Linked DNA regions of Bombyx mori. The protein of the gene in region 1 interacts with the protein of each later gene in a pairwise test. Links are inferred from orthologs where the notes say so. Each region holds a gene or a part of one and is shown in the gene's direction. Other genes may lie near its edges. The genes, in order: splicing factor Cactin and cact.

Region 1 (17,209 bases):
ACGACTCTGCGCTGCCGACCATCCTCCGCACTACGGCCGGCAGCGACAGATCGCTTCCTACTTCATTTGTGAGGACACGGCGCTGCTCCTCCCAAGCTACACACTCGGCGAGCGTGTGTTGCGCCGTGTCCTCCCCGCAGTGGACGCAGTGGTGGCACCGAGCGTCCGGCTCCCTGTCTATGCGGCACAGGTACTTGCCGAAGCAACCGTGCCCCGACAGCACCTGTGTCACCCTAAACGACAGGGATCCGTGCCTTCTCCCGAGCCAGTCGTCGAGTACTGGCCGGATCGCCTCGACGGTTGCGAGGCCGGCGGTAGGGCGCAGAAGCCTTTGCCGCCATTCCGCCACCAAGGCCAGACGGAGCTCCTCTCGGCGCAGCGCGATCTGCCGCTGCACCAGCCTCGAGCCCCGTGCCCGCTCTTCCTCGCGCCATCGATATAATGACGCGAGTACTTTCGCCTCTAGGTCCCAGGGCGGGGATCCGGCCAGGACGCAAGCCGCCTCGTAGGAAATCGTGCGGTACCCGCGGATGACTCTGACGGCCATCACCCTCTGCGGCTTACGCAGAATGGCGAGTGTGCTGGCCGTCATGTCCATCGCCCACACAGGGGCCCCATACAGGGCCATGGACCGCACGATTCCCACGTACAACCGCCTACAGGCGGCGCTCGGGCCCCCCAAATTGGGAAGCAACGTTGAAAGCGCGCCCGCTGCACCCATCAGCTTGGGCACCAGCCGCCGGAAGTGGGGCCCGAATTCCCATCGGCTGTCGAGCACCAATCCCAGATACTTCATGGTGGACTCGACAGCTATCCGGGTCCCACTTACCACGATGTGTGATCCCGGCGCCGGCGCACGTCGGGGGCCATGAAACACCATAGCCTCCGACTTGTTTAGGGCCACCTCCAGGCCCAGGCGCCGGATGCGGTTCACCACCAGTGACACCGCAGCCGCGGCTATCAACGTCGCTTCCCTGTGCGAGCTCCCCCGGGCAGTGACAAGCGTGTCGTCCGCATAACACGTCAAGTTGGCGCCCGACGGGAGCTCGCCTCTCAGCACCCAGTCGTAGCCGATGTTCCACAGGAGCGGTCCCAAGACCGATCCCTGTGGAACACCGCACGACATGAGGTGCCGACCGGCACCGTCACGTCCCCGATAAGTGACGCATCTACCCTCCAGATAAGCCCCTACCGTGCGGCGGAGGTAGGGAGGCACGCGATGGTATTTCAGAGCCTCCCGAATACAACTCCAGGGTAGGGTGTTGAAAGCGTTGGAGATGTCTAAAGACACCGCCAGTACCACCCCACCCCGGGACACCGTCTCCTCCGCCAGGGCCCTCACGCGCATGATGGCGTCTATGGTGGAGCGCCCCCGACGAAAACCAAATTGGTTGTCATCCAGGTCCGGCCCCTCCCTGCACAAGTGGCTGACGAGGCGATCTGCGATAATGCGCTCAAAAAGTTTGCCCGCCTCATCGAGCAGCACTATGGGCCGATACGCGGACGGCGAGTCCGCGGGGCGCCCCTCCTTCCTGAGCAGGACCAGCTTCCCCTCCTTCCATACACTAGGAAACTGACCCTGCTCGAGACATGCCGTAAAGAGCCCCCTCAGCTGGGGCTCTAGCTCCTTCAGAGCCAGGACGAGTGCTCGACCAGGAACTCCGTCGGGTCCCGGGGCCGTGTTCTTAGACCGGAGTCGCGACACGGCCGCTCTCATTTCTGCTTGCGTCACCTCGGGGACATCGGTGCTTTCCTCTTCTCGAGAGTCTGTGGCTGAGGGTGAAGCCATCGCCGGGGAAACGTATTCCGCTCGCTCAGGGAAGAGGGCCGATACAACCGCTTCTAGCAACTGGGGTTGCATGCTTTGCGCCAGTGGAGGCGCCCAGGCACGCAACTTGCCCCGTACCCAACGGTAGGGGCGCCCCCACGGATCCCGATCTAGGGACCCCAGCAGCTCCTCCCTGGCACGCGACTTAGAGTCGCCGATGGCCAGCCACAGAGTCTCCTTAGACGCGCGGTACGCCTCATACAGCGCGTCTTCCTCGACGGAATCCCGTCGACGTCGTCTCCGGTATCGCGTGTACCGGCGGCGAGCCGCGACGCACTCAACGCGCAGCCGTGCGATCTCGTCGGTCCACCAGTACACCTGGCGCCTTGCGGACTGTTGGTGGACACGGGGCATGGACGCGTCGCAGATCTGCGTCATCGCCCCTCGAAACCACAGCGCCACCGCTTCGACGTCGACGGGACTGTTCATTGTCGACTCCCAAATCCAGGACTGGACTAAGGCAGCTTCCTCGAGTAGCTCCTCGTCGATGCGCTTAAGTGCCCAGCGTGGGCCGTCGTTAATCGGGGCGGTTGGCTGGCGGCCGCTCGCGGTCTGGGCAGAGACGTCGAACCGGATATACCGATGGTCCGACAGCGTCTCCACCTCCACGGCGACACGCCAGTCGCGGACTCGGCTGGCGACAGAGGGGCTAGCAAACGAGACGTCCACTATCGAGCCGCCCCGCTGCCGCACGCACGTGTATTCCGAACCCCGATTCAGGACGACCAGACCAGTTGTCACCGCCCACTCTTCTAGCACCTCGCCCCGATGGTCAGTGACCGGAGATCCCCACGCCGATGACTTGGCGTTGAGATCCCCGAGCACCAGAACGGGACGAGGGTGATAGCGGCCTACGACGGCGCCCAACTCGACGAGGAACCCCTCAAAGTCGGCGAGACTCTTGTTGGGAGAAAAATACGCCCCTACAATGCCGATACCGTCCGAGACCGCAGCAACCCAGCCGCGGCCCCGAGACGGGTTGATCAGAGTCTGGCCGATAATGGCCACCAAGCCGTCAATGCTCCCCAGCCAGTTGTCACGGGCGGGGACAAAGTACGGTTCGGCGACCGCAGCCACGTGGATCGACCACTCTGCCATGCTCTGGAGTAAAATATCCTGAGCTCTGGCACAGTGATTGATATTGCCCTGGAGGAAATGGAATTGTGCCATTATTGACATTCCATTCCCTCGGCAACGGTCCTGGGCCGGGAGTCGGCTACGGAGCTACTAGCCTGCGGGGGTGGCGAGGTTTCCCCGGTAGGTTTTGAGTTCCTCTTCTTCTTCTTGGCCTTGCTGGCTGGTGCGCCACAGGCTCCTCCACCCAGCCTGTGTCCCGCTGGCTTCCCTGCAGCTGAACACAAGCTGCAGTTGAGCGCCGCGGAACACTGAGCCGCCTTGTGGCCGGGCTGACCGCAGCGATAACAAAGGTCACTGCGGTCAACTTCAGCGGTGCACTTTGCCCGGACGTGCCCCTTATCCAGGCACCGGAAACACCGCAAAGCCCGGGGCTGTAGAAGTTTCACCCTCGCTGCAACCCAGCCAACCAGCAATCTGCCGCTTAAGGCGATCTTTTTCGCCGACGCTACAGGGCACCGAACCCAGACCACGCCGAGTCCGGTGGCATCGGTGCGTATATCGCCGGCCCGCACCTTGTCCGATGGACACTCTCCACTTCGGGCAACGGCCGCTACCACCTCCTCAGAGGTCACGGAGTCATCCAGTCCAGCAATCCGCACCTCTGCGGTTTTCATTGGCCTGGAGACCCGGACGTCCTCGGGGCTGAGGACCTCCCTCATCTTGGCGGCCAGAGCGTCCGCCTTTTCGGCACTGCCACTCGTAGTACCAGCCACCTCGAACAACCGTGCACCCGTGGCAGCCTGCCTGTGGGTGACGGCCTGAAGACCAAGATCTGATAATTTGATCTTGGCCTTTGCTTCGGCGATGACCGACTGGTACGTTACGCCGCGCTCCGCAGCTCCGGGCTGTAGCGTGAGCGTCACAGCTTCGGAACGCGGAGCACGTATCTCCGGTCCTTTGCGACCGCCTTTGGCAGCCCGCCGCGCAGGCTGCGCAACCGCCTTTGCGGTTTGGCCGGGGGCATGCGTTGCTGCTGAGGCCGCCTTGGCGACCCTGCGTGCCTTCTTGCGGCCCACGACTGTAACCCAGGTCTCACCCTTAGACCCAGCAGTCGTGGGCTGATCGCTCGATGGGGCTCCCTCGACGGGCTTTTTGACACCCTCCGCGGGCTTCCCCTCCCTAGGCTTAGGTCTCGGCGGCTCCTCAGCCCTCCGCCGTGTATCGGCCGCTAGTGGCGGACGGAGGATTTCCGCAGGGAGGCGCCGAGAAATTGCCTCCATACGAGCATTGACCATGCTCCCGCACTGGAGCATACAGAGCCGGACAATGCGCTCGACCTCGTCGTCGGTATGAGTGCTTGTCGGTCTCGGTGCGGGAGCCGGGGTCACTACCGATGCGGCATCAGTGGACGTACGCCGCTGCTGCTGCTCGCTCAACGCAGTGACTCGTCGCCGGAGGTCCTCCATATCATTTCGGAGACGGCTGTTTTCCTCCTGCAACTTCGCAACCTCGTCAGAGGCCGTCCTGTTGAGGAGGATGCCAATCGCCTCCTTAATGTCCGCGGCAGCTTCTTTCAGACCGCGGGTAAACGTGCCCTTCAGGCTGCCGGATTTGGTGGCAACCTTCAGGACTAAGTCCACCCCGTCCAAGGCAAGCTGACTTAGGGCCACCGCAGATGGTTCCCCCCCTTCCGCCGCTAGAGTAGCGCGTCGCTCGCGTGCGCGTCGGGCCATTTCCGACACTTCGTCGGCCGCGACAGCTTTGCGCTGCTCTCTTCGGGCGGCGTTGATCTCCGCCTTTGAGCTCCCTAGCGAGGCACAGCTCTCGCCACCAGGGTCCTCGGTAGTGACCCCCATGTCACTATCTGCTTTGCTGGCAGCCGGAGTATTGGAGCACACGAACCTACCCTGTGCGTTCCTCCGCGGCCGTGAAGCAGTCACTCCTCTCGAAGCCTGCCGACCTCTCCTCGTGGTCGGTAATTTCTTGGGGGGCAGCAAGCCTTCCTCATCTGAGGACAGATCCACCGACCCATCTCCCACTGGAGCATTGTCGCGTGAGCGTTTTCTAACGGAAGACGACCCACGCGGTCCTCCGTCAATATTTTCAAAATAACTGCTTCCAGTAATATTATCAGCAACAGGGGCCTGGTCGCCTACTCCTGCGCGTCCATCGGTAACCAATTTATCACTCGCAGGCCCGGGTACCTGCGAGCGCCGGGCGTCAGCCGGGTCGCATGACAAATCTCTCTCATAGTTAGCCATTTTCATATTAAAGAAGTGGGTGGTACGCACATAACTTCCCCAAGGCGATGTGGCCGCTCTTTTTGGGAGGGTGTTTGATCCTCCCGAGGCCCGCAGATGCCTCCGGTGCAGGATATACCGCCCGCTGGTCGGTATCTACAAGCAATTTTTTTTTTTTTTTTTTTTTTTTTTTTTTTTTTTTTTTTTTTTTTTTTTTTTTTTTTTTTTTTTTTTTTTTTTTTTTTTTTTTTTTTTTAATATATATATATATGAACTAGCTAAACTAAACGAAACTAAACTAACTTAAACTAGCCACCACCCGGCACCGTGGTTTAATCACCTCGCCACGGATGCCCCTAGGCCGCAGGTTGAGGAGCAACCCACGGTCTTCTCCACCTCGATCACCGCGACGTACACGTAGCGGAGACCCCTAGGCCACGAACTGTAAAACAGCCCGTGGTCTACCCCTCCTTGCTCCCTAGTCGTGTACTCTGCAGCTGCAGAGCGCAGATAGAGAGCCCTCGGGAGCGACTCCTCCGCCCCGGCAGAAATTCGCCGTGGGCAACAATCTCCTCTTTCTCACCCCTCACGAGGAGATTGTTGCCCACGCCCAGGGTGCACCGGCCCAGCGCCTGCTCGTCCTCTCAAGAAAACAAAAGGACCAGCAGCCACTGAACACTCGGGGAGGTTTTCTGCCAGGCACCCCAACCTAACCTAACCTAACCTAACCTAACATTTCGTTTCAATTAATTTCAACCCAATTGCTTACAGTTCCAAAGAAATTAACTACACCTCATTTCATCATTAAAAACTAAAAATTAAGCTGTATGTTATAACACCTTTGCTTTTATAGTTGAAAAAATGGAACTTGCTACTTACTGTCTTTCACTTGACAAATGACAAGATCATCTACACAATATTAAAATTTTAATTTAACTTATAATTTTAAGATCAATTTCTACGAATTGTACGTCTATCTCTTTTAAATTTATCAAGAAAGATTAATATTTATTAATATTCAAGGTCTACTCTGTCTCTAGATCAAATCAAATAATAAATATGTGAGTATATTAGATTCACTTTAATTGAAGAGTTTATGATTTTATAAAAATTTTTGAATGCCTATTATGTTTTTAATTCACCATTCAACTATGAGGTATTTAATACATTAAATATGTACACATAGTTATTTAAATATTTTCAAAATAAATATTTTGGATATTTTAGGTCTTCAAGAACTGATACACGTCGTATCGAAAGATCACGGAGTCATTCGGTGGAACGATACCAAGAACGTAAAGATAGCAGAAGGTCCAGGAGTCGATCATCCAGTCACAAGACTCACAGGTCAAAGTCGCTCACGTCCAAACAGAGTTCTACAAGCAGAGAAAAAAAGCGTAAAAAGACTAAGAAAAAGAAAAGACACTCTTCTAGCAGCAGCAGTAGTAGTAGTAGTTCTAGTGACAGCAATGAAGAAGAATTGAATTTCTTGCAAAAACTGGAGGCCGAAAGACAAAGACTCAAAGAAGAGAAACGTAAACAGAAAGAGATGCTCAAAGCGAAGGAAACTCCTGAGGAGAAAAGGTAATAATAGTAGATACTAGAAAAATGGGTCGAGAATCTGAATTGCGAAATCTAGCTTAACGATCTTGAACTCATTGTGGTTTGACAAATAGGACTTCTGTACTTTTTTTGAGCTACACGACTATGCCAGTGTTTGAATGCCGTAGTCGGTATACATTTTTGTTTTGAGATATGAACTTAGCCAATTTATTTCTTATCATAATGAATTTAATGGTATAAGACCCTGGCTAGTTTAGCTACTAGTCCCTGCCTCATTAAGTACTAGTAGTAGTCTGTTGTAATCATGGATACCATCCTGCAGATTTATATCTTGAAGCAGCTATGCATTTTAGGTTTGAGGTTATAATCTTATGGTGGATGTTAGATTCTTCATTTATTTATTCATAAATAAAATTTTGTTGAAGTCTCAGGAAAAAGAAGAACTTTCAATGAAATACTAATTAAAAATATATCATTATTAAAATGCTTAAGGTAAACTTTAATATCACTATTCATTTCTTTTGCTTTGCTTCATGAGTACTGTCCATTGTATCACTTTGTGTAGAACTGATTATTAACTAACTCCATGTTGCCTTTGCAATGCTTTTTATTGTCAAGACGACTATGTCTACTATTTTCCAGACCATTTCTATAGGTACTTTCAATATCCATTTTTGTTATTTGACAACTGATGGCACTACTCATACTGCCATAACAATACAATGGCAGTCCCACCCCTTACATTGGAAGGTATTTTTGGTTTTTGATGCATATAGGCAGGATGAAGGCCGTACCTTCTTACAAATCTTACAAATTTATTAGTTTTGTGGATTTGATATTAAAATTTATATTATTAAGTTATGTTTCCTTTATTGTAGCATGCATCCATCATGATTTTATTAATATGTCAATACTTTTTAAACTATATATTGTTCCTAATTATGCTGATGGTGGATTGACTATGGTTGCTATGGCTTATATGCACTTTGAGGATATTAGAAAGTAAATTTTTGTACTCAATCCGTGCTGTTCTAATAACATTCTTTAACTCCAAGCTCCAAATATAGAATTTATTCAAGTTTAAATTGGCAGTCAAAAGAACAACAATATCACAAAACAATAAGTGTTAAATAGTATAACAACTAAACGAACATTAATTTGTATGTCTCTTTCACTCTTTCCAAGTTTTGTCATTACCAATTACTTTTTATAGTAATAAATTGTTTTACTGATACAATTACCTTTTTATTTAATTTAATTTAAAGGGAGAGGCGTCTTCGTGAAAAGCAAGAAAAAGAAAGGAAACGCCGCGAGCGTATGGGCTGGGACAATGAGTACCAATGCTACACTAACCAAGACAACCCATTTGGAGACTCTGCACTGACCAATACATTTGTCTGGGCTAAAAAACTTGCTAAAGAAGGTGTGAAAAATGTATCCAGAGAAGAACTTGAAGCTTTGAATAGACAGAAACAATTAGAAAATAAGATTGAATTGGAAAAGGTAAGGATTTGATAATAGACATAGGCTTAAGATAGGCATGAGGCTTTATAAATATAAAGTATAGCAAATGATAAAGCTATGGGAGTTGTTCATGAGACGCAAACATTCTAAACATTTACAGGGTCTAGGTGGGGTAGAATGAAAACTGACAAACAGTCTGTGCGCTGTCCTATTGTATATTATTGTATAGATCTTGTTGACCTGGGAACTGCGTAGTATATCGTGATCAATTGTAGACTCTAAATATTAAGAACATTACTGCCCGGTTTCAATTATGGCATTGAGCCAAGAGTGTAATAATATTGTGGGCCATTCCGTACATATTACTTATATTACCAGTACAAAACTACTATAGATAATGACATATTTACTTTGTAAATTGTAATGAATATAATTATTTTGTTTTAAATTGTGCATAAGAATAGTTTGTAAAATAAATCATAACTCTTTGAGCGCGTACCGTTGATATATCGACTTTATTATTATGGCTATAAGGTGCGGAGAGTCGGAATACCGACGTTTGCGCAGTTTGGTTAAAGGTAGGTGGGTATCGAACTTAGGGCGCGCAATAATAAGTTAATAGCATCTATAAATAATCATTTCAAATTATTTTACTGTGAATTTAGCATTGATTTCTGTTTTAGGTTTCCTTTAAGTTAAAGTTTTTTTATCAGTACTTTTTTTAAAAACCCTTTGGTATTTTTTGCCTAATATGTGCCAATAAGCTGAACACTACAAGATTTAAAAAATAATAGCGCTACATTATTCATTGCTAATTCTGGCGTACGTTGCACACGACTGCCATATCTTATGATTGTATCATTTTCATGTTGCCTGGTGGCAGTGGATTTCATTGGCGACACTGCTGTTTCTGCTTCGAGATATGTCTGTGAGTGTGTGTGTGTGTGTAGGTGAAGCAGCGCCGCTTGGAGCGCGAGGCGGAGCGCGCAGCCCGAGAGGCGGAGGCCGGGGCGGCGGCGCGCGCTCGTGAGGCCGCGCAGTTCCACAGCTGGGCGCGCCACGAGGATGCCTTCCATTTGCACCAGGCCACCCTGCGCACGCAGATAAGGATCCGGGATGGACGAGGTCAGTCACAATAAAGCATTATCTTAAAGAGAGGCAAAACACTGGAGGTAGGACCTCTTCTGAGTCCGCGCGGGTAGTTACCACCACCCTGCCCATTTCTGCCGTGAAGCAGTAATGCGTTTCGGTTTGTAGGGTAGGGCAGCCGTTGTAACTATACTTGAGATCTTAGAACTTATATCTCAAGGTGGGTGGCGCATTTACGTAGTAAATGTCTATGGGCTCCAGTAACCACTTAACACCAGGTGAGCTGTGAGCTCGTCTAACCATCTATACAATAAAAAAATAAAAAAACAGTCATTATTTCTGTATATTTTGTGACCGCTTGCTTATCTACAGCACTGCAAGCTATACCTACTGGTAATTTTTACGAAAATTGCGCGGACGGTGGAGTATGAAATTTCCCACATTTATACAAAATTTAGAGAAGGGGTGCAAAATGTTAATCTTTTTTTTAATTATGCATAAAAATACATAAAAATGTTTATAGTCTGTGGTCAAATTGAGAATAGATTAATATTATTATCCTCACTTGTGATATTTGTATGTTGTTTACAACTATGCACACCACTTGGTTCCTTCAAACAGCGAAGCCGATAGACCTGCTGGCGTGGTATGTGAGCTCAGAGGAGTGCGTGGATGCTCTGGAGATGCACGAGCCCTACACCTACCTCAACGGGCTGCAGATGCAAGACCTCGAGGACTTGCTCGAAGACATCAAGGTATAAAATACTTTCAGTACCCGTAAAGCTGAGCAAAGCTTACACCAGCACAATCGGACTTGTTCACTCACCCCAGTACCGACACAAGCACACGGCCAGCTCGGGCCTCCCTGTGGGGGGGGGCGGCCCTACCCCGATAGGACGGTGTAGGACTCATCTGATGATTTATACGAAGTTGTAATAAGGCCTTGGCAAAAGTATTCACTCTACTCACTCTGCCATTGTTCGAATACCATAAAATTAAATTACGTACCTAATACGTCCGTGAATATTTATCTTCATTCTCCAAAGTGTAGGCATCAGCCGCGCGATATGAACGATTTGCCACCCACCGTGGTGGGGGTCGGGGGGCTGTGGTCCGGGGTTTATTCATGAGTTAAATAATTCTCGTAGTGTTTTGTCACACAACTTCACTCCTCGTGTTCCCGCCAAAAAGTCCATATAGATGGTAGAAAAGGGTAGAAAACATAAATCATATAATATACAAATATTTTTGGTAGGTTTACAAAGAGTTGGAGAAGGAATCTAACCAGTCGTACTGGGAGGACGTGCAGACCATCGTGCTGGACGAGCTGGGCAAGCTGCGCACCGTGGCCGCGCCCTCCGCGCGCAGGGACGGCGTGCACAGGGCCGTCGCCGATGACGTCACACAAGTACTTCCACTCTTTACACTACTACACTCAAGGCTAGGGTTGCAACCTTCTTTTTGTAGATAAAGTACATTGGTTATTACAGGTAGGAACAAAAAGTACATAGTATTAAAATAAAGTACAATTTATTTTTTACTGTTATTATGTTTAAAGACATTTTTTATTACCATTGAAAAAATTAAACAGGACTGTGACAATTAATGACAGTGACATATGAGGTTAAGTTCGGTCAGAATATTTGTAAAAACAACGAGTGCTTAGGTGATGTAGCGTTGGCGAGTGGCGACATCGATTGAGCAATCGATGTATTTCGCTTAACGAAACAATACATATGACTAAACTTTTCAAAATCCCAAAGAAACCAAATCATGCCAAATAAAGTATTTTCGTGTACTTTATTGTTCACATAAAGGATAGCGTACAATACTTTATTATAAAGTACGGGTGGCAGCCCTAGTCAAGGCGCCAGACGGACGCACGCGGCGCGACCCTCCGGTTCCGGTCACTCGATCTTACCCGCTCTCTACCATTACAGATCTTCAAAGGCAAGACCGGAGCTCAGCTGGAGGCGCTGCAGACGCAGATAGAGCAGAAGATATCCGGCAGGAGAGACGGCGTCGACATCGGGTACTGGGAGAGCTTGCTTAGCCAGCTGAAAGGTAACCGCTGTCTGGCGCGCATGCTGCTGTCCACTCGTGCACAATATGCCCCTGCCAGCTGTCGTCTTAGAACTAACCGTTACTTTCTGAAGACGGGGTTGGTGGTAGGACGCTTTGTGGGTTCACCACCGCCCTGTCCATTTCTGCCGCGAAGCAGTAATGCGTTTCGGTTAGAAGGGCGGGGTCGCCGTTGTACTGTAAAAATTGATACCTTAGAACTCGTATCTCAAGGTGAGCGACAGCATTTACGTTGTAGATGTTTATAGGCTCCGGTAACCACTTAACAGCAGATGAGTTGTGAGCTCTTCCACCCATCTAAGACGATCTAAACCAAGCTCCCAAACTTATTTTGGTCTGCTGCCCATTTTCAGAATAAATTATTTTTTAGCGCCCCCATTTTTTCATCTAATTAAAAACCACTATAATGAGAGCTCAATCGGTGTCTAAGAGTCTTTTTTTTCTGGGTCTCCTACCGCCCTCCTTAAAGTCTTTAGCGCCCACAAGGGGGCGCTATCGCCCACTTTAGGAAAGGCTGATCTAAGCAATAAAAAAAATGTGGTGACCGCTTCAATTAATCCAGACTCTGCGTAGACGACTCGTGCGGCCCTTTTTTTTCCATTTTTTTTTTATTAGATTGGTGGACGAGCTCACAGCCTACCTGGTGTTAAGTGGTTGCTGGACCCCATAGACATCTACAACGTAAATGCGCCACCCACCTTGAGATATAAGTTCTAAGGTTTCAAGTATAGTTACAATAGGCCCTGACTGACCTGCTCTCTGTAGTCATCGACAAGATCATTATTAAAAAAAAGGTGTAAATTAATTGACCACTCATCGATAAATCAGTGGATAAATGTAGCCGCCCCCGAGGCTGCTGAGCGGCCGCAGGAGTCGCTCGCTCGGTATCCACAGAGGCCCGAATGCAACACATTCATCTAAAACAGAGAGTAAAGTAGCGCGTTGTGTCGCCAGCGCACCGCGCGCGCGCCCGCCTGCGCGAGCGGCACCGACACAACCTGCGCCGCAAGCTGCAGCTGCTCAAGCGCGAGCAGGGCGTCGCCCCCGCGCCCCGCGCCCCCGCCAGCCCCGAGCCCGCGCAGCCCGACGGCGGGGGGGCCGCGCCCGACGGCGGGGGGGCCGCGCCCGACGGCGGGGGGACCGCGCCCGAGGCCGAGGGGGACGAGCACGAGGAGGAGGAGGAGGAGTGCGTGTCGCTGTACCGGTCGGGTCGGTACTCGCCCGCGCTGCTGACGGACCGCGACCTCGAGCCCGCCACGCTGCTCACCGAGCCGCTGGCGGACCTGCAGCGCCTGCACTACCTGCGCGCCGCGCGGACCCGGGGCCGCGCCCCCGCGGTACGTTCTAACCCTTGCGCGGTCGGACAAGGCGGACTCCGTAGTGACATCACTGCGCCCCGGCACAGACCGTACTTATTCAATGGTGTCGATGTATGAACAGGGACGACCAGAAGGCAGCTCGGCGGGGCCGGGAGCGGGCGGAGGGGCGGAGTCTCTGGAGGCGGAGGCCCGGCGCGCCATGGGCGCCCCCGCACCGGACACGGCGCCCTTCGCCCTGGAGCACGCGCTGCCGGACCAGCCCTGTCTGTGGGCCGACAAGTACAGGCCCAGGAAACCGAGATACTTCAACAGGTCATCTCATGAAGCCAATATCATTACTACAATTACTATTAGCTATTTAACCGACTCTTTATAGATGAACCGATTTAGATATTTTTTTTTTAGAAGTAATACTTTTCATGTGCACTCATTTAAATTTTATCAAAATGTGACTAGTTAGCGATGTATTTTTAATTGACTACATTGAAGATATTTTAATTTTATTTTCTTGACAAAGCTTTTCATTTTTGTAAAAATTTTGTGTTATTTAGGTACTGTGTGCAGCCCCCGAACAAGGGTCGGCAACGAACTATGTCCCCGCGGACCGTTCCGTACCGACCCCGTACCGACCCCGTACCGACCCCGTACCGACCCGTACTGACCCCGTACTGTGCCCGTACTGACTCCCGCCCGAGCCTCGTTATTAACATCACATCTGTGTCCGCAGAGTCCACACCGGCTTCGAGTGGAACAAATACAACCAGACCCACTACGACATGGACAACCCTCCCCCGAAGATCGTCCAGGGATACAAATTCAACATATTCTATCCGGACCTCATCGACAAAAACTCGACACCGGAGTTTTCTCTCGTATGTGATTAATGTTTATCTATCTAGGTTGTTCCTCATTCTTGTAAAAATGGTAGTATGGCAGTATGGTATTATGGCAGTATGGTAGTATGGCAGTATGATAGTATGGCAGTATGGTAGTATGGCAGTATGGCAGTATGGTAGTATGGCAGTATGGTATTATGGCAGTACGGTAGTGTGGCAGTATGTTATTATGGCAGTATGGTAGTATGGCAATATGTTATTATGGCAGTATGGCAGTATGGTATTATGGCAGTATGGTATTATGGCAGTGTGGTATTATGGCAGTATGGTGTTATGGCAGTATGGTATTATGGCAGTATGGTATTATGGCAGTATGGTATTATGGCAGTATGGTATTATGGCAGTATGGCATTATGGCAGTATGGCATTATGGCAGTATGGTATTATGGCAGTATGGTATTATGGCAGTATGGTATTATGGCAGTATGGTATTATGGCAGTATGGTATTATGGCAGTATGGTATTATGGCAGTATGGTATTATGGCAGTATGGTATTATGGCAGTATGGTATTATGGCAGTATGGTATTATGGCAGTATGGTATTATGGCAGTATGGTATTATGGCAGTATGGTATTATGGCAGTATGGCAATATGGTAGTATGGCAGTATGGCAGTATGGTATTATGGCAGTATGGTATTATGGCAGTATGGCAGTATAGTAGTATGGTATTCAAGGGCGGATCCAGCTTTGGTGCCAGGAGGGGGTCACATAGTCATGGTCAAGTCAAGAACTTATAATTTAATTTTGATAACAATAGATACAAGTAAAAAGTAGGTATTTTATTATAAGCACATTAAAGGTATAAATAAATTTTAGTTTTTTAACTTAGAACTGTGTTATGATATGTTGAAGTTTAGTCGTTCCGATTCCGATTGAGGTTAGGCCTAGCTAGACGTTACGTAGTCGACAAGCGCGCGCGAGTGTGGCGCGGTAAAATTCAAATTTTCGATGCGTTCGTTCCCAAACATTTGCCATCATACAAAGTTATTATATTATATTAAATTAATTAAGGAGCAATATAAGGAGCAACAATATACCTAGTCTTGCCATAAATACTGAAACAAAGGAAAAAAAAAATTCTATTGCAAATAACATTTATTACTTTTACAGTGTGTTAGTTTAATACATAAATATAAAACAATTTAAAGTATAAAAAGCTTATTCGAAGTGGTCTCCATTGGCTGCAATACAGTCCTTTAAACGTTGAGGCCAGTTATCAATAGAAGCACGCACTCTTTCCATGGAAAATTTTTTCACTGCTAATCGTGCAGATTATTTTAGGGACTCCAAATTATCATGGCGTTTAGAGCAAGCCGTACTCTCTAAAACTGACCATAAATCATAATCCAGCGGATTAAGATTGGGACTAGACGACGGTCAGTCTTCAGCTCTGATGAAGTCCGAAACGTTCGTTTCCAACCAATACTGCGTAGACCGAGCTTTATGACCTGGCGCCGAGTCTTGCTGGAAGGACCATTCTTGATTATTGAACATGGTGTTGTTAAGAGGCTTCACTACCTTCTCAAGAATGGTATCTTGATACACTTGTGCCGATGTTTTGATACCTTTTTCACAAAAGTATGGCTCAGTCACTCCTTCATAGCTGATACCCCACCAAATCATCACTGAAGTCGGATAGTGCCCACGTTGCACTCTGTCGACTAATTGGGAAGCTTCCTTAGAGCTTTGAGCATAAATACGGTCATTTTGTTTGTTAAAATGTTGCTCAATTGTAAAAAAAAATTCTCATCCGTAAACAAATTTTTTCTATGACCTTCCTTTGCGTACCGTTTCAGTAGTTGTTTCGATTTTACCCCCCATTTTCTTTTAAATTATCAGTTAAGAAATGACCACTAGGTCTCTTATAGGACCATTCTAACCGGCGCCATCTAGGCGGGCTTCGGATAGCCTGCCGACCGAGAGGGCTGGTGGTCGTGGCGCCGACGACCGCCAGTCCGGCGTCCCGAGGGGGAGGGTGATGGGAGAGATGTGCTCCGCACTAAACGCTTCACTTTCCCCCCTTTGCCTTTTCATGAGTTTTGTCTCATGCGAGGTTTGGACGTTGGTTGTTGAGAGACAGGAGGTTTTAGTCGGTCCGACTCCGACATGCCCCGCCCTCCATCCCCAGTGAAGGGCGGAAGTCCGGCGATCCGGCGAAAAAAAAAAAGGTCTCTTATAGGCTGCAAGTCTTACGCGACATGGTTCTAGGTGCTATCTTCATCTCCCGAGATAAAATCTTTTGCTTTCGGACAGGATTTCTTCGAATTCTTTCCCTTACTGCTTTGACCACCTTTTTCGTACGAACACTACGTGGACGGGTAGATATTTTGCTGTCACAAACAGACTAACAGAGGAGGTCTCATTGCACCCATTAATAGCCCGGTACACAAACATTTTACTAATACCAAGCGTATGGAGAGTTTTAAAAATTGCCTTTGGCTCCATACCTACTTTGCGTAATGCAATCACAGCGATTCGGTTTTCTTTATCACCCCACTCCATTTTAATATCGCAAAATATTATACAATGTATTGGCGCCAAAATGAGAAAACTCAATGAGCAATCATAAAAATTCCAAATTCAAATGTAATATTTTGTTTATTTTTAATTGTAACAGTATTTATGGCCAGACTAAGTATTGTGTCCTTAAATCATTATGTTCAATATGTGGTCCACCTAGGTGCCGGAACCAGCTCAGGGGGGGGTCATGACCCCCATGACCCCCCCCCTGGATCCGCCCTTGATGGTATTATGACAGTATGGTAGTATGGTAATACGGTGACGCACGTTGCAGAAGCCGTGCCCCGAGAACGCGGAGTTCGCAGTGCTGCGGTTTCACGCCGGCCCCCCCTACGAGGACATCGCCTTCAAGATCGTCAACCGCGAGTGGGAGTACTCCTACAAGCGAGGCTTCCGCTGTCACTTCCACAACAACATCTTTCAACTTTGGTTTCATTTCAAGAGATATCGGTATAGACGCTAGGGCTAGAGATATTATCAATAAAGTTAAATACACAAATTGGTTTGTCATTTTAATACCTATTCTTGTTCATAATGAATATTGCTCTTTTACTTAGAAATGTATATTTTATATATACGAGTAAATGATAGAATGCAAATTATAGAACCAAAAGAAGAAACTGGTAACGTCCGTACCTATGATACGTTGCAATGGGTATACTACTGGAGATGTAACCCAAGGAGGATACTGTGTCTATGCAGCATGCTGTGCTGACCTCACATAATGTCGGATAGGGGCAAGAAGAAAATTAAGATTCCTTATTGGTCTTTTGTATGCCTTATTTTAAATGTCTTCTGCATTGTACAGGCAAAGTTAACTAGCAAAATTTTTGAAGTATATTTAAAAATAAGAACGACTAAAAGAAATTATCGGTGCATTCGTATCGAGCAATGTTCGAATACCAATAGTACCAATTTTTCTAATGAAATATGTACAAATGTTCACGACTTACTTCCACAGTGAAGGAATGACACCATGTAATAAAAATCAAACGCGCAAAATCTTATACCTTTAAACGAGCAATTCTTGTATATTAAAATATAGATAATCTGAATCTCGGAAACGGCTTCAACGATTTTTATAAAATTTTGTATACAGGGGATTTCGGGGGCGATAAATCGATCTAG
Region 2 (17,134 bases), on another chromosome or scaffold:
CAAGTCCATCAAGGTTAATATCACGCCGTACCTAACATTTCTACTACCAGTCAAATTTCTGTACTACGGTATAAAACGTATATGACTAAATTATCTAAGGGGTAAGAAATAATTAAACATACCTACATATAACTCTTTAACGGTTTGTATTATATTGTAAAATATTCAGAACGGAATTCGAAAATAAAATAAAGTGTGAAATTAATTATATTAGTTTAAGTAATAATAATGATGTCTACGCGCGAAAACCGAAAACATTACAAGAAAACAAAATTTACAAAACTATTTGCTACTATCACGTCGCAATTACGTGTGTTATCTATATACCTACAGTCGACTCTCGTTAATTCCAACCTGCGATAATTAGAACCTCTCTATAATTTAAAGTTATCACGAGTTCCCTACAAAATCTCTTTATATTTCGAACTAAATCAATACATTTTTATGCACTTGGTAATTCGAACGAAAAATCATTGCTATATAATAAAACGACGCGTTAATTCGAACTCATCGGCGTCCAACACTGGACAATTCAAAGTTGCAGAGAGAAAGAGGTCGAATGATTGTAATGTAAGTACATTTTGCGACAACTTCAAACTTGTATCAACCATAGACCTATAGGTTTCCTACTACAGCGGTATCAACATACACGAGCCTTTGTTATTGTTATGATTAGTTAAACTCACACTTCCCCACGAATTGGTTTGTTTAGTTATGTTTCAGTTACGGTTAGTCTTTCGTTGGTATGCAGATTAAAAGTTTGTGTTAATTATGAGTCCTAGAAAGTATAAATGTTTGACGATTGCTGAAAAGAAGAAGTTAATCGAAAAAGTAGAGGAAGGTGAGAAGAAAAGTGATGTTGCAAAAGAATTTAAGATTCCTCTGAGTACTCTCTCAACCATAATAAAGCACAAGGAGAAAATTAATTCTGCTCAAACTGCTGGAGTACGGAAAAGAACTACTATTCATTGTTATAGAATAGCAGTTAATAAATAATTATTGATCAATACTTAGTAATTCGAAGTTTTATTTATTTTCTCTCACAAATTTCGAACCATTTGATATTTCAAACATTCGATAATTCGTAATATTTTATGAGTCCCTCAAGTTTCGAATTCACGAGAGTCGACTGTATATAAAAATGAATTACTGTTCGTTAGTCTCGCTAAAACTCACTGAAGTTACTATATAGGTCTATGCTAAAACTCGAGAACGGCTGGACCGCTTTGGCTAATGTAAAGGTTTAAAAGGTAGATAAATATAAAAATGCTCGGTATTAAATAAAAATAACAATTTTGTTTTTCCTCTGTGTCCCCCGTCGGACGGATTCATTTTGTTTGTTTTAAGTTTATTTTATATAAAAGCTTAGGTATTTTATTTATCGATTGAGACATTACGAAGTCTGCCGGGTCAGCTAGTAATAAATATAAATATACCTATTATATTAATAATTCATTGCACATTTTCTGTTCTGAACTTCTAATGCTGCAACTTTATCCATTATTTAACTTTACGAGACTGGTTAAGTGTTTGGTTGATAAATAGATCATGCAATATTGTAATATTACCTAGTTAAAGCGAAGTTTACAGAGAAAATGCAGACTGGTTTTAGTTGTAGTTTTGTGGATGTTTTTAGTGCCTGCCTCTATGCTAGATAAATTAATATCTTTGCTGTTCTACCCGATGATATGCAGGCGAAGTAAAATGTCCCTTAGAAATAAGGTGACACTCTACAAAACTTGCATACGCCCCGTCATGACCTATGCAAGTGTAGTGTTCGCTCACGCGGCCCGCACTCACTTTAAATCCTTCCAAATTATTCAATCCCGTTTTTGCAGGATAGCCGTCGGAGCCCCGTGGTTCGTCAGGAACGTCGACCTCCATGACGACCTGGACTTAGAGTCCATCAGTAAGTATCTTCAGTCGGCGTCGATGCGCCACTTCGATAAAGCGGCACGACACGAGAACCCTCTCATCGTGGCCGCCAGTAACTACATTCCCGATCCTGCGGACAGAATGGAAAGCAGTCGACGTCGCCCAAAACACGTCATCTCGGATCGTCCCGATCCACTAACGGTGCTTTTAGGTACTTCAAGCACCGGTCACCGTTCTCGTCGAACCCGTCGAAGGGCTCGACGAGTAAATTAACTCCCAGACACAGCCCACTGAGTTTCTCGCCGTATCTTCTCAGTGGGTCGCGTTTCCGATCCGGTGGTAGATTCTGCGAAGCACGGCTCTTGCTAGGGTTCGTGTTAGCAACGTCATCAGGTTTGAGCCCTCAAGGCTACCATCATAGGTAGGAAAAAAAAAAAAAAAAAACTGCGCTGTATCTTTTTTGAGAAAATAGTTTTTTTCAATGCCAGCTCATTAACAGGGCACGTAAATATCAAAAACGCAAATGCTGCCACACACCTAAACAAAAGTTCTAAGTCTGAAGTCTGATATTAGGAGACCTCGGGGCTGATGATGATATTGATTGTTGCATCATTTGATTTGACTACAGCAAGCATTATATTCTTTAGGCCACTATGACTGCTCTTTCACCCATCAGGGATAGTAAAAAAAATGGACACACACTTGCTTTATTAGGAGGTGCAAATCTAATCAAGTCAAATCACTAAGCTTATGGTAAAAATAATCTTCTCATAAAATTTATTTCCATACAGACATCAAACATTATTTTTCACAATATTATTTAAAACATAAAATGGTCAAAAATTCACTATTGATAAAATAAATTCACATTATTTGTTTCAGAATACCCTGTCGTATTAAAGTCTGACATTCCGAAGTAGGAAGATAATGTCTGCTATTCTTCTTAAGCATAACCACATCACCATCTTCAAGTTCTAATTTACCATAATCCACAACACAAAGCACTTCGATGAACAATGATTTAGGGGGCTTTAAATTTTCAGTCAAGTCTATGCCACTGTATCCTATATCTTGGCCTAAAGATCTCATATACAAAGCAAGATTTCCAGAGTATTTTGAAAACCATTGATATTCATCATCAGAAAGCAATTCTCTGATATCTGGAGGTAGTACTGCACCAAATTCCCAACGTAATGTCTTAATTTTTTTCATTCTGTTGTAGAGATAGGCTAATATACACCTTTTATTGCGTTCAAGGGCAGAATGTCTTACTTGAACTGTGGTCCACAATGATCTGTTTTCTGTTGTAGCATTACTAAAAATAGTAATTCAATTAATACAAGCGGTAATCATAAAACAGTTTGTTGTTATCTTCTTCTTCTATAAATGAACTTGATGAGCAATTGAACTACATATTTTTGAAATTTAAATTAAAATGGACTAATAGCAGGTAACCTTATTACAACACCACATGAGACTCAAGTGCATGAAAATATTAACCCCTTTGCACTAAATGACGTTTTCGTTTGTGCGGACCAGCAACTCAGACCGATTTTGGCCAAATTAGAGAAACATTTTAAAAGTACTTTAAGATCAACAAACAAACACACATTTCTCTATTTTTTTTATATACCAAAAACAATAATTAGTACTATTATTAAAAAACAACTACACTGTAAAAAAACTCAATAAGCTGAGCTAAGATTTGGTTAGAAATTGAAGCCAAGCCTGTCCACTAAAGTATTTTTAAGCAGATACATAACCGTAGTGCTGTAACAAATCTGCTGGGTGAGATATCTGTGCTACTCAAGCACAACCAGTAAAGCTATCAAATCTGCTGGGCAAGTTATCCAAACTGCTTGAATGTGAAGAGTTATAAAACAAAAAAGTCATAAAACTTTTTTTTGCATAATTGGGTGAGAGATCTCAGGGCTACCTCAAATCCCATGAAGCTAGCATAACCCCTCGAGGTTAGTAGCAATAGATTGACAAAAAAAAACAAAAATAGACCTTCCTGGAGTTACAAGGTTACCTGAGCACTTTTGCATCACATGAAACAGAATAGGAGGTTACAGAATAGAAGTGATCATAGCAAATCTTGCATATTGAACAATAACTACTTGCAGTTATATTAGTAGAAAACCAGTGACTTACGCATCATTCATGTTCAATTTAAATAATAAATGCATTTCTTCTATTATTTGGCGTATTTTTTCATCCTGTAACATGTGAAATACTATGTACTTTATAAGATTAAAAGACACAAAAATAATAATAGGCGGTGCTATAACAATAATTTAATATACTTGTCACTTCTAAATGGATTTCTGACTTTATAGTGCATATGCATAGACAAACAGAATAGATGACAACCGGATAAAATCTTGGTTTCGGTATTAAATAGTAACTTAAAGCTTTCATTAGATATAACAAGTTTATTCTAATTCCAATCCCATACCTAGATGGGCACATCCAACTTACATTATATTGATCTATTGTGTCAGGATTTCTATCTACTTCTTTAATTAGTTCTATAACTTTTTCTGCGAACATTGTGTGTTACTTATTTACTTAACAATGAGAGAGATAACAAACAAAATACTTTAATAATTTAGATAAAAACATTTTTGGCATTGGCGCGAAAGTTGTTATTAATTTGATGAGTGACAGCTCAAGACTGTGACAGATAGTAAATTTGACATTTTATGATCGGATACGCATCATTTTTGGATGAGTTCGAAAATCACAGAAGCCTTGATCTTTAAATCTATAATACCAAAACCTAATCTTAAGATATTAAAATTTTCTAGAAGTGGGAGCTAAGTCATACAAGTAACTTTTTACAGATAATCACTTAGTAGCAATACAGCCAATAATAATCTCACTCTCCTTATCGGGTCGACCATCAGATCCAATTACTCTTGCAAAGACGCTTTCAACTTTAACATTAGGAGCAGACTTAGGGACCCTGATAACCGTACTCGTCGAACTCAACAAAGTGTTCGACGTGCAAACTAACCTCCCGGTGCCACCTCTGGGACATGATGATTTCATCATTCCCGCTGAATTGCGCCTCCTTATCAAGCGGATAAAGAGGCGCAAGGCATTGTGTGAGGACGGTATTCTCACCCTTGCATTTTTCCACTTTCTAGAATCAGTCGTGTCTTTTAAGACACGGCTGTTTAATTACATTCTGTCTACAGGATATTTCCCGGGAATTTAGAAGGACAGAAGACAGCCCTCCAATTATCGTCCGATTACCCTGTTGTCGTATGTGGGCAAGTTGTTCGAGCGGCTGCTGGTGAGAAGAGTGTCTCCGCACATCCTTCTCAGACCCGAGCAATTCTGGATACGTAGCAGTCACTCAACAACGCTGCAATTGGTCTGCGTTATGCACCTTTTGACGGTCCAACGCACGCCAGTACATGGCGGCAGTATTTCTCGATTTCGAGAAGGCCTTCAACCGTGTCTGGCGTGCGGGGCTTATCTGCAAGTTGGTGCAGAACACGGACTTCCAGCACGCCTACGTGCGACTACTGGGGTCGTACCTGGAGGGCAGAACTCTTTTTGTCGCGGTCAAGAGCGCTAAATCGTGGATGCGCCCAGCCACAGCTGGGGTTCCCCAAGGAGGTATCCTGTCACCGATCCTCTACGCTCTCTACACCAACGACATTCCCAATGTCGTTACGTTGTGTTAACACACAGAAATAATAAGCAGTAACATATCTATGACGGCGTTAACGTTACTTCTGTTATACAGCACGTGCAATAGGAGTGAGTCATACACAAGCCAGGTGCGCCGGCCGTGTCACTCCACTCGTAAAACAGCACGTGCAACAGGAGTGACTCATAGATAAGCCAGGTGCCCCGGCCGACTGCGTTTGCTCGGTGCACTTACTATATCCTTGTTACATTGTGTGATTAAGTGACTGTTTTACGTACTGGTTAAGGTTGGATAAATGTTAAAGTGAATTAAGTTATCATATTGTTGATTAAATCAGGAATCAAAAAGTGACTTCGTTTTACTGGGTGTTCAACAAGATAATATCCCCCGCCCTAACCCCCCCCCCCCCTCCCCCTCCCACATAATACGCAATGGAATTGTTCAATGAGTAACGTATGTTCGTCTGCTTTTTGTGGCCACAATACCAAACAATTACAACTTCTAGTTTTGTTGATCCGAAGAGTCGATAATTGTAAAATGAAAGAATAAACACCAAATGGAAATTTTAAGTTCTTTCTATTGGGTCCACAGCTGTCTATAAAGTTTACTTATGGACGAGAGTTTTACGTGATAACGTCGTAAAGACTCCGTATGCTTTACCACCTGAAGTATTTCCTTCCGCCCGAGACCAAGACAATACTCGTTCAAACTTTGGTTTTCCCCTTGATCGACTATGGTGATGTGTGCTACTTTGACCTGAATGCATAATATCTACTCAATAAACTTAACCGGCTTCTCAATAACTGCATTCGATTTATTTATGATCTTCGGAAATACGATCACGTATCTTCTCATCGCTCCCAACTTAAATGGCTCCCCATTCGACAACGCCGTAGCTTGCGTGCTCTCGGTACTCTTTACTCTTTGTTGCATTCCCCAAATCCACCTGCTTATTTAACTACTTCCTTTCAATACTTAGGGTCTGACCACAGCCGAAATCTTCGTTCATCTCACAATGTTCTTCTTCGCTGTCCTCCATATAGTTCTGACTCGGTTCTCTAAGGTCGGCCACTACACGTGAAGCGTTTAAGATGAGGGTTCGAGAACTGTTTCTAGAGAGTTATCAGAGTCATCTAATTGATAATATTTATTTATATATATTTTATACATATATATTTATGTAAATGTATTTATTTAAGTACGAGTTTTTGTATCTATAAATATTATGTATGTTATATATACACATATGTTTAAGTAATATCACTATCACACTACACCTATCAAGGTTCATCTCTGCACCCCCCTAAGGTAGACTCTCAGAGAATTTTTCGGAGCATCTGGGTCTACGGAGGGACTTCGGTTCCCTCTGTATTTTGTACCGTATGTTCCATGGGGAGTGCTCTGAGGAATTGTTCGAGATGATACCGGCATCTCGTTTTTACCATCGCACCACCCGCCACCGGAGTAGAGTTCATACATACTACCTGGAGCCACTGCAGTCATCCACAGTGCGTTTCCAGAGGTCTTTTTTGCCACGTACCATCCGCCTATGGAATGAGCTTCCCTTCACGGTGTTTCCCGAGCGCTATGAGATGTCCTTCTTCAAACTAGGCTTGTGGAGAGTATTAAGCGGTAGGCAGCGGCTTGGCTCTGCCCCTGGCATTGCTGAAGTCCATGGGTGACGGTAACCACTCACCATCAGGTGGGCTGTGAGCTCGTCCATCCATCTAAGCAATAAAAAAAAAAAAAAAAAACGTGGATGTTTTAGTTTATTTTTATCGAAATCACAGTTTTGTTATATTGTTTTACTTCACGAACCAACAGATATTTTTTTACTAGTCAAGACACCTATTGTCACTGTCTATGTCTATGTTTACTTTGTTTTTGCTAAGGATATCTATCAACTCAAACAAAATATTTTAGATTAAATCATCACGCAGTGATGTAGATTGTAGACAATTTACATGACACAGTGTTTCCGAACATGTCTCTAGAAAGTGACGTAATGACGAATGCTAATAAAAACAAAAAATGGCAGCCTTATGTAGTCACAAATACTCCAGCATTGAATCTTAATCACGCATTGTGCACGCGCATTCGTTGTAGTGAGGCTGTTTATTACGCGACATTTTTGTGTCAAAACATGGTTCCGTGTTCATAAACAATTGTAATATAAACAATAGTGAAACGATAAGATTATTGTTAAAATTGAAAACGGTCGTATAGAATTGAACCAAAAATGAGTGCCAAAAAAGATTCCGAAACGAAATTGCGCGAGGACGAGTACGCTGATTCCGGTTTTGTTACTGGTGAAATATCAGGACCGTGTGATAGTAATGATATCGATTCAGGGATGATCGATTATGATGAAAAGAATAGTGAAGGTGAAAGTGGAGTGAAATCCATTACGGATAGGCTGTCACAAGTAATGGTTAGTGTTCAGAGTCCTGCACAGAGTACCGCAGACATTCCTCCGCTGTATCTACTGTTCCAACAGGACGAGGACGGAGACACGTATGTATAAATCATTATACTCCACGCACTCTTACAACAACAACAAAAATTCTTCATTTTGGCTTTTTGGGGTCTGTGCATGAAATTTTTCCCTATAATTTTAAACAACATTGTTAACTTGATTTGACACTACTACTATTATTAAATACTTTTTCGAGAAACACTCCTTGCTTACCTTTTAGTTTAATGATAGATTTTTAAATATATTTTGAGATTTATCAAATTACTTTTTTGTTGTTGTTAAAGTCAATTAATTACCTACGAAGGGCATATTTAAAAAAAAAACATTGTTAATGTGGAAATTTTATCAAATTATACTTGTGCAAGAACCTCAGCTCACCAAGAAAATTAATATGACAATCTTACCCAGCCAATACAGTTTGTAATAAGTCAACAGACCTAAACTACAATATGTATTCTTATTAAAACCATGATGAAACTTGAACTATAACAAAAGAAATTCCCTGTGTTCAGTGAAATAAATGAGAGAAATAGCAACTTTACGTTTAAGGTGCTTACTATATCCTTTCATTCGTCTATTTTAATAAATCTATTTTGAATTAACATGCAGTTAAATAAAACCAATTTTTATCATGTTTCTTTATTAAGCTTTAAACTTTTTGCTAAAGCGTTAATTCTCGTAGTTTAGCATTTTATAAAGCATATTAAAATATATTGATATAAAGTTGCTAGTTCAATTATATTTTAACAGGGTACAATAACATAAACTTCATTTAAAAAAATGTTTATCAGTACAGTAACAAAAATGAACTTAAAGCGTTGTAGCCTAATACGGTAATATGCACATGATATGTTGTAAATTCTGTAATGAATAAATTGCATGCACTGCCCGCCATTGCAGTAGCCTTTGTCCACTCTGTGTAGAACCACTGTGTTTATCCACAGTGCATTTCCGGAGATATTTTCTGGCATGTACCATCTGGCTTTGTAATTAACTCCTCTCTTTGATGTTTCTCAAATGCCTTATAATGTTGGAAGGTTGGTTGACAAGATTTATAGAAAATACTCAGGGGCAGGAAGCAATTTGGCTCTGCCCCTGGCATTACTGATGTGAATTAGCAATGGTAACCACTCACCATCAGGTGGGCCATATGCTTTGATATCTTTGTTTTCAGTGAAACTATAGACTAAATATACATAAACTAAATATTCACTACTATGTTTTAGTAAATATAGCAGTGAAAAAGACTTGATATTCTTCCAATATTTAAATTAACAAGGAAATCATTTATACATTTTACAACTTCCTTTGCGCGGATTTGTTTTTTTGAATAAAGACGATCAAAGTGAGCAAATTTAATTGCTTGAAAAACATATTGATTGGATTGATAATACAATTAGTAATCATGATCAAGTATATAATAATATACTTATGAGTGCAAATGTAACTGTTTCAGCCTTCTTTGAATATAAATAACTAGGGACTATTTTTAAATATTTGAATTAGAACTGATAATTATTTGTTTTTCTAAACTATCTAAAACTACCAAAATATTATTTGTTAAACTGTTCCCAGATGTGTTGACAATTCTAGCTCATGTTGTTTTAATTATCAATACATAACATTTTACACTGTTTTTATTTATTTGATATCCCTAAAATTATTTATTTAACTTCCTCACTCAGATCAATAACCTATGTAGCTATGTATAATAAAAGAACAAGCTATTGAATAGATTAGATAGTGATATGATTACATCACTAGATGCAACTAGTGATGTCCTCAAATGACCTCACTCACAACACCATCACTCATATAAATTCTGAGGATTACATGGGTACATCTAATGTGTTTGTTTATATCAGGTGGTTCCTGCATTGTATTCAGATAGAATGGACTGGTTCATGCACATACCAATGATAGAATCAACCAATCGACAATATCATCATCTGGTACTCGTTTTCACAATTCAAACTAATTACAAAACAAGTTAACATTTATAAAAACAAGTTTACTTCCTCAATAATTGTAAATTGTTTCGTTTTATTTAAATAGTATATTTTATAATACCTATTAATAAATGTCTATGATAAATTTATAAATTAAGGTTTATTTATTTAGCATACATACATACAATCTATGCAAGTACAACATCGATATAACACCAGTTGTATAATAAATGATTAATCATACATATGAAATATAAAAAAATATGTTTATTAGTAGAAGGTCTGAAAAATAAAATATAAAGTATTTAAATTTAAGAAGTACTTCCTGTCTATGAACTCATTTTTTCAGTACAGATATTCCCATAAATAGATTACTCAATGTCTAAAATGAAAACAGTCACTATAAAGTGTTACCAGTGCCTATTATGGCTATTACATATCAGTGAACTACTTATTACATTATAAGGAGTCTGTGCAGTTGATATGTTGAATGTGAAGAGTTGTTATTTTCCATTACAGACAACTACACATCGCCTCCGTACACGGCTGTGAAAAGTCAGTGGGTACCCTCATCAGGGTGTGCCCTGAGAAGTCGTGGCTGGACGTGCCCAACGATTATGGCCATACGCCACTGCATCTAGCGGTGATGAGTGGTAATGCCATCATCACTAGGATGTTGGTCATCGCCGGAGCTGACATCGGAGCGAGAGACTGCCTCGGAGAGACTCCGCTACACAAAGCGACTGCCGCCCGCCATATAGAATGCTTAAAAGCACTACTTGCCAAAGTTCCTGAGCATCAGAGCAGTAAAGTATTAACAGTACTGGAGCAGAAGAACTACAACGGTAAGTTGTTTATTTAAAAGAAATCATTCAAATATTTCCTTGTAGCCATTTGTGAGCGACTCGACTGATAACAAATTCAGTAACAGATTAGTGTAATGAGTGTTGATCAATTTATATACCTCGTGCTTTTATTCAGATTCTAGCTAAATTAATATTAACTATAAACCTAGCAAGTTTGCAGCGAGATAAATTATTGTCTCACTGAATCAGATGTAAAAACCCATACAAACTCGGAATTTCCACTTACGATTCGCTTTAAGCGTTCTTAAAGACTTGACCGTCGGCAACTACCGCATTTTTATTATTAAAATTTATTAAGTTAAAATTGCGTAATTTCACTAATATCGTGGTCTGTTATCGGTCGTTGAATTAAGACGCAGTATGAACGATAAAATGTAATGCCGAGATTAGCACGTCCGAATTTGAACTACGCATAGTACTGTACTTATCCTGTGGTAGGTTAAATGTTTGACCTCGGATAATTCAGGGAAGTAGTATTTATTGCCGGCGCCGGCGTCGCGGTCCATCCAGGCGTGAACTTACACCCTAATGACGTCACGTGTTCATTGCATTAGAAGCTACGTAGTCTACTAGCATACATTGTTGAATTGAACACTAGCAGCTCGTATCTGGAGCCAGTTTGTGGCACGACACAGACATACGGCGTTGTTTACGTCCGAAGTGCGAACCGTGTCTACTTGTGACGTCATTCAAGGTCTCCATTACGATCGAAGTCATTAAAAATCTATCGTAAATTCGGTTTGGAATACAGCGAAACGCAATTCATGAGCATCCATTCAAAATTTTAGAATGTCTCGTGGACTCGTCCTCATTTTAAATCGTGAACACGGAACGACCCGTGTAGAGCTGCATCAAAACATGATATTTCGAGTTTTTTTAATTAGCGGTTTTCCCTGATCATCTCTGGTCGGCTTCAAGTTTTGTGTAAAAGAATTTCGCACGACTTCTGGTCGTCGATCTGCATACGGTTTTACCCGACGCTTGACCTTGCCGAGACAGTCAAACACGTATTATAACATAATTTTCGGACTTAATAATTATACATCTATACTGCGAGCCGTTCGACAGAGGCCGCCTACGTGCGAGGCGGTGTGACCGCGGACTGGGTATTCCCAACGACCGTTCTCAAACTTGAGTGAAAGCATTATGCTTACATTGAACCGAATCTACCGCTCCAAACGTTCGCACGACTCTTTAGTCGGGATGCCCCACTGTCCACTGCGCTGCACATAGCTAATTATGAATTTGTTAAGCAGCCGGCATAGTAAACTGGGTTTTTCTAAACAACAATAAATACATAATGTTTACTTTTCATATCTGCGTTTTGTGTAAACGCAGCAATTCCCTTGCTTCTATCGCCGTCAAATCGCGCCTGAAGTCGCTTGCTTTCACTAAGTAGCTTACAAAGTGAACTTGTTGAAGGTAAACACAAGTCCATTCCGTTAAATGTATTCGCTGGGTTGATCGGTCTAAGGAAAACCGCAGAGGTACGGCTGCAGGCACCGTAATTTCCCATTATTCGAGCTGAACAATGAGTCGATGTGCTGATGGGTTATACCCGCGTGAAAGTGTGTCCAGGGGCCGTGCTGCCGCGTTACATACTCGCGGAAATCCCAAGCGTCGTCGTAATAATAGCGTTACGTCGCCGCCTCGCCACCCACGCTTTCTAATTTTAAAACGCTGTACTGAATCTCACTTAACAGACGCGCATATGTATATATAGGAGAATTCAAATCATACCAAATTAAACCCTTGCGTGCTGCTATGTTTGGTTAAAGAAATATTCGACGACCGACCGGATTTAGAGAATTTCCAAAAAAAACAGGTTCCGCTGATGATCGAAGTGCGAGAGGTTGTGAATACTGTTTTTTTTTTATTAAACCTCAAGTTTATTTATGATTCGAGTCACGAAAATGAAGTAGGTAAATGGCATAAGGTAATGGAATTCCCAAATTAGCGTATAAAACGCTTCGAAAAATGTACACGAGGAATGCCCTCGTGTTTAGATTGCGGTTTGCTTACATATTTTATTGAAATTACACGCAAAAACAGGTTTTAAGAATTGAATTAATTAGAAAATTGTACTTACATGTAACTTTCATGATATTCCCTTGTACGAATCTACGATAAAATATCTACAATAGTGGACTGCGTACATAACATCCTATCTATATTAGCGTATAGTTAAATCCTTTATTGCATACCAAGATAATAGTCGACTATAAAAACGGAGGCTTTGGAATAGTTGTTATCAAAACAAGAACGAAGATATAGTATTTTCCAAGGTTTTCATGTATCGAAGACATGATTCAGAAGCGAATATACTACGCATTGATCTGACGTTCAAATTATTCGCGGCTCAGTTTCCGGTGTTTAGAACATTCCAGAAGTTCCCCGGTCACTGTAAATAAATTATGTGTTTCATATGAAACGTGAGTTTTCTACTTTTCATTTTGCAATACAGTTCACCACAACTTGGTTCCTTGACACCTTGATGTAAATTGTGTAGTAGTAATTGTACCGCCATCGTATTATTGCAAACGGTGGATCGTCGCAGCGTGGGATTTTCCTACACTCGGCCTGGTTCTTCAATGACCTCTGTATTATCAAGATTTCAACATAACCTTACAGAATATGGTGGCGGCCATGCCCGACATGTTGCTTGTTGGAGACTCTTCTCTCGGGACTGACATTTCTATGTAATACTCTGTATCTCGATTCGGGCGCATGCTTCAAAATGCACATTGACGTTGTCATGTCAATGGACAACTACTGTTTGTCTTAGGTTGTGTTCCTAATTGTAAGCCAATTAACGATATAATAATACTTGGATGGCACACTAAACGTCTAATTGGGGAACTTCCACTTTCGATTCGATTGACCTCGATAACTCCTGAATACTTATCTCTATGTGCAATCATGTTTGCTATGAGTGGTCTGTTCATGGGTCCTCATTTCGATTAGTTATGGCGCGCCAACGGTGGATATCAATTGTCTTTTTAAATAACTAGAAACGGTACTTTAAGGATATTCAGAAGTTCCATAAACGTATTTTTGTTCGTTGTTTCGTGTTAAGTTTATTCGCCTTCATAACACTCTTTTCAACTGCTCTCGGTCATAAAGGGGAGATGAACATGATCAATAGAATTTGTAATTCTAAATATTGATGTACACAAATTTTGTTTATCAATTTTTATATCGATACAAAATGCTGATCCTCGTGTCTCAAGACAAGCATACGACGGCTTATTGTAATATTTAGTACTTATCGATAAAAAAGAGATAAAAACCTAATTTCCGGTGTCATCTACAAACAATGATAAACTACAGCGAAGAATGGAAACGAATTAGTTTTTTTTTTTATTTGATGTAAACACATATGTAAAGTTGTTTTTATTATCGCAACGTAAATAAGGAAAATGCTTACATTTTTAAACGCAATAGTAGGTACGCTTCAAAGTTTAATGATGTTTTATACCTACGTAACAAATGCGTAAAAACACCTCGTTTTATTTAAAATTGAACTTTAAAATAACTATGATTAAAACTGAAATAACATTATCGTCGTCAAGACCGTGGTAATCGAATACCCGATATTGAATGACCTCTATCAAAAGTTTCCAGTGAGAAATGGTCCTGCATCCGTTTAGGACACTGTTTAATGGAAAGGGCCAATCAAACGCCGAGAACACACGGTGCAAAACAACATCTCTATCTTGAAGCCCGTCTATCTCTTACTCTCTCTAGTTGGTACAACGAAATTAATTTTGTAACGTAACATCAATCATAGTTATGATAAGGCATTTTCTACTAAAAGCTTAGATTACTCAAAGATTAAAAATTAATTAAAATTAAATCTTGTTATCAAACAAATAAGTATGTTACTCATTTGGTTCTGTTACAATAACTTAATGAGATCACGTATATTCATAGCGATTATATTATTAATCGATGCGATATTGATTTTTATCGTCATTATTGTGTATAGTCTGTGAAAACGGTGAAAATATCATCGGTCGCCACCTTATATGGCGTGGGTGCGCGTGCTACACTCGACACATACTGGGAAACCCCACGTCTCGCCTTCCCCGCACCTCCGCCTCTCCCCGCGCATTATCTTCACGCGTCGCTAACTCAATCAAATGTAGATATACTAATACATATGTAGTAATATTTATGAAGCCAACGTGCGCAAATACCAACTACACATTGAATAGAGTTCGAAGTTTTGATTATCTATCTTTATTTCATCCCTATTGCCTAGTTACCCTAAGCTTGGATATATTGTTTTCAATACGAGAATAGTAGTTAACATTGTGGACGTGAGATAGAAAGATATCGAACTTAAGACTTGCGTAGTTAGACATAAGGTGTAAAGTTCAATTGTCAAGACAGCTAATATTTCAGCCTTTTAATATTTCACAACGGAAACAATAATTAACGCGATAGTATCTACCGCAACTCCGCACTCCTTGCCGGCTCAATACAAAGATTCTCTGAAGACATGGACTGATACTGAGTAATGGTCAACGGGGACCTTTGATTAGTCATTGATGAGTTGGATCGTGTGTAAACAAGTATAGTGGGTTTTACTAAGAGATTATTTACTTGGAAACATAATATACTCACAGTGCTTTTTTTTTATTGCTTAGATTGTTTACGAGCTCACAGCCCACCTGGTGTTAAGTGGTTACTGGAGTCCATAGACATCTACAACGTAAATGCGCCACCCATCTTGAGATATAAGTTCTAAGGGTCTCAGTATAGTTACAACGGCTGCCCCACCCTTCGAACCGAAACGCATTACTGCTTCACGGCAGAACTAGGCAAGGTAGTGATACCTATCCGCGCGGACTCACAAGAGGTCCTACCACCATAATTACGCACATTATAATTTTGCGGGTTTGATTTTTATTACACGATGTTATTCCTTCACCGTGGAAGTCAATCGTGAACATTTGTTGAGTACGTATTTCATTACAAAAATTGGTACCCGCCTGAGATTCGAACACCGGTGCATCGCTCAACACGAATGCACCAGACGTCTTATCGCTTAGGCCACGACGACACAAAGTATTCAAGATATAGGTATTTATTTTGAAAATATGTAAGTTCTTTTGGTGGTAGTGTTGTGTCACTGCTGTTTTTTCCCGCCTCGGAGGATAGGCCAGATGTTATTAGAAACTTACACTATATAATACACTAGAAACTCTGACGTCATGCTTGGATGTCGGCGGCGGCATTCATTAGTTGTTAGCGTCCATGGGTTCCCCAACTAATCAACTATCCTCGTCTTTAAAAAAAATAATTACTTCAATGACGTGCGTTCATCTCCCAAGAAATACCAAGATTCATTGACATGTAACGATTCTTCTCACATTTTATTCTACAATTGTTTAAGCCGTCGTGTGGTGACAGCATAATTTGACGAAAATATCTTCGTCCGTGAAAGATTTATATTCATTCTGGAACGTTGATCTATAAGTTGACGTCACGCGAATTGATTCCATGTCTACTATATAAAGAATTGATCAGGCGAAAGGTAGAACAAAATAATATTCATTTTATGGAATTACGTCTCCAAACACACCCGCCCTCGTAACGATGTAAAAGATACGACACGTGTTCAGTCAACAAATTGCGACTCTAGATAGAGTGTAATCGAGCAAATGATTAATAAAATAAATCTAAAGTAACTGTACCATAATTATCATTGAATACAATAAAAGGTCCACGGGCGGGAAAACACAAATGACGTACGGCCGGTCGTTGGCTGCTATCTGATGACGCCCGTAAATGATTCTATAATACACGCCAACTAAATCAATCATTATCAAATCAAGTTAAATAAACTTTATCGTTATATTTCTTTTGATGTGTTCGAAGGCGTCAATGTTTTTTTCGTACCTACTCTTAAATAACACCTAAACTAGTTTTTTAGTTAGCATTAATAATTAATTATCAGAAAATATCGACGGATAGCGCATTAAAGTAATTTATTGTTATTTTAAACACATACTTGTAACCACCTCAACGGAATAAAGTCAAGGAAAATCGACGAAAATTTAGAAGAAGAACCAATACGCTAGAAACAAAACCTCTAGTCTAGTTGGGCATTAAAGGTACCTCTTTGTGTGTCGTTTAATGATAACGAAATGTAATTAAATATTTCATCAGTCATATGACTTCATATCTATTTTGTGATATTTCTGATCCCCAAAACATTTTGTAATCATTTAAATAATAAAAACATGCTTTAATTACATACATACTTTAATAAATAAAAACCCATATGGGCGTCTAA

Evidence for each region.
Region 2: the proteins of splicing factor Cactin (region 1) and cact interact in binary tests that used the Drosophila melanogaster proteins (3 or more experiments, as listed by UniProt). The link is inferred for Bombyx mori from reciprocal best matches to the Drosophila melanogaster genes cactin and cact.

Annotation. Positions count from the first base shown.
Region 1 is NC_085125.1:14,772,700-14,789,908, forward strand, and holds splicing factor Cactin, read left to right. Parts: upstream 1-6,018; 5' UTR 6,019-6,204; coding exon 6,205-6,206; intron 6,207-6,372; coding exon 6,373-6,729; intron 6,730-7,973; coding exon 7,974-8,211; intron 8,212-9,122; coding exon 9,123-9,297; intron 9,298-9,882; coding exon 9,883-10,016; intron 10,017-10,516; coding exon 10,517-10,669; intron 10,670-11,201; coding exon 11,202-11,325; intron 11,326-12,297; coding exon 12,298-12,680; intron 12,681-12,783; coding exon 12,784-12,974; intron 12,975-13,389; coding exon 13,390-13,534; intron 13,535-16,355; coding exon 16,356-16,544; 3' UTR 16,545-16,580; downstream 16,581-17,209. UniProt on the Drosophila melanogaster protein: Plays a role in pre-mRNA splicing by facilitating excision of a subset of introns. Plays a role during early embryonic development. Involved in the dorsal-ventral embryonic patterning.
Region 2 is NC_085118.1:17,158,932-17,176,065, forward strand, and holds the start of cact (cactus), read left to right. Parts: upstream 1-7,626; 5' UTR 7,627-7,778; coding exon 7,779-8,053; intron 8,054-10,483; coding exon 10,484-10,809; intron 10,810-17,134. Other genes in the region: DNA replication complex GINS protein PSF1, read right to left, coding at 2,740-3,190, 4,030-4,094, 4,357-4,428. UniProt on the Drosophila melanogaster protein: Involved in the formation of the dorsoventral pattern. It inhibits nuclear translocation of the dorsal morphogen in the dorsal region of the embryo. Acts as a negative regulator of the NF-kappa-B (rel) signaling pathway.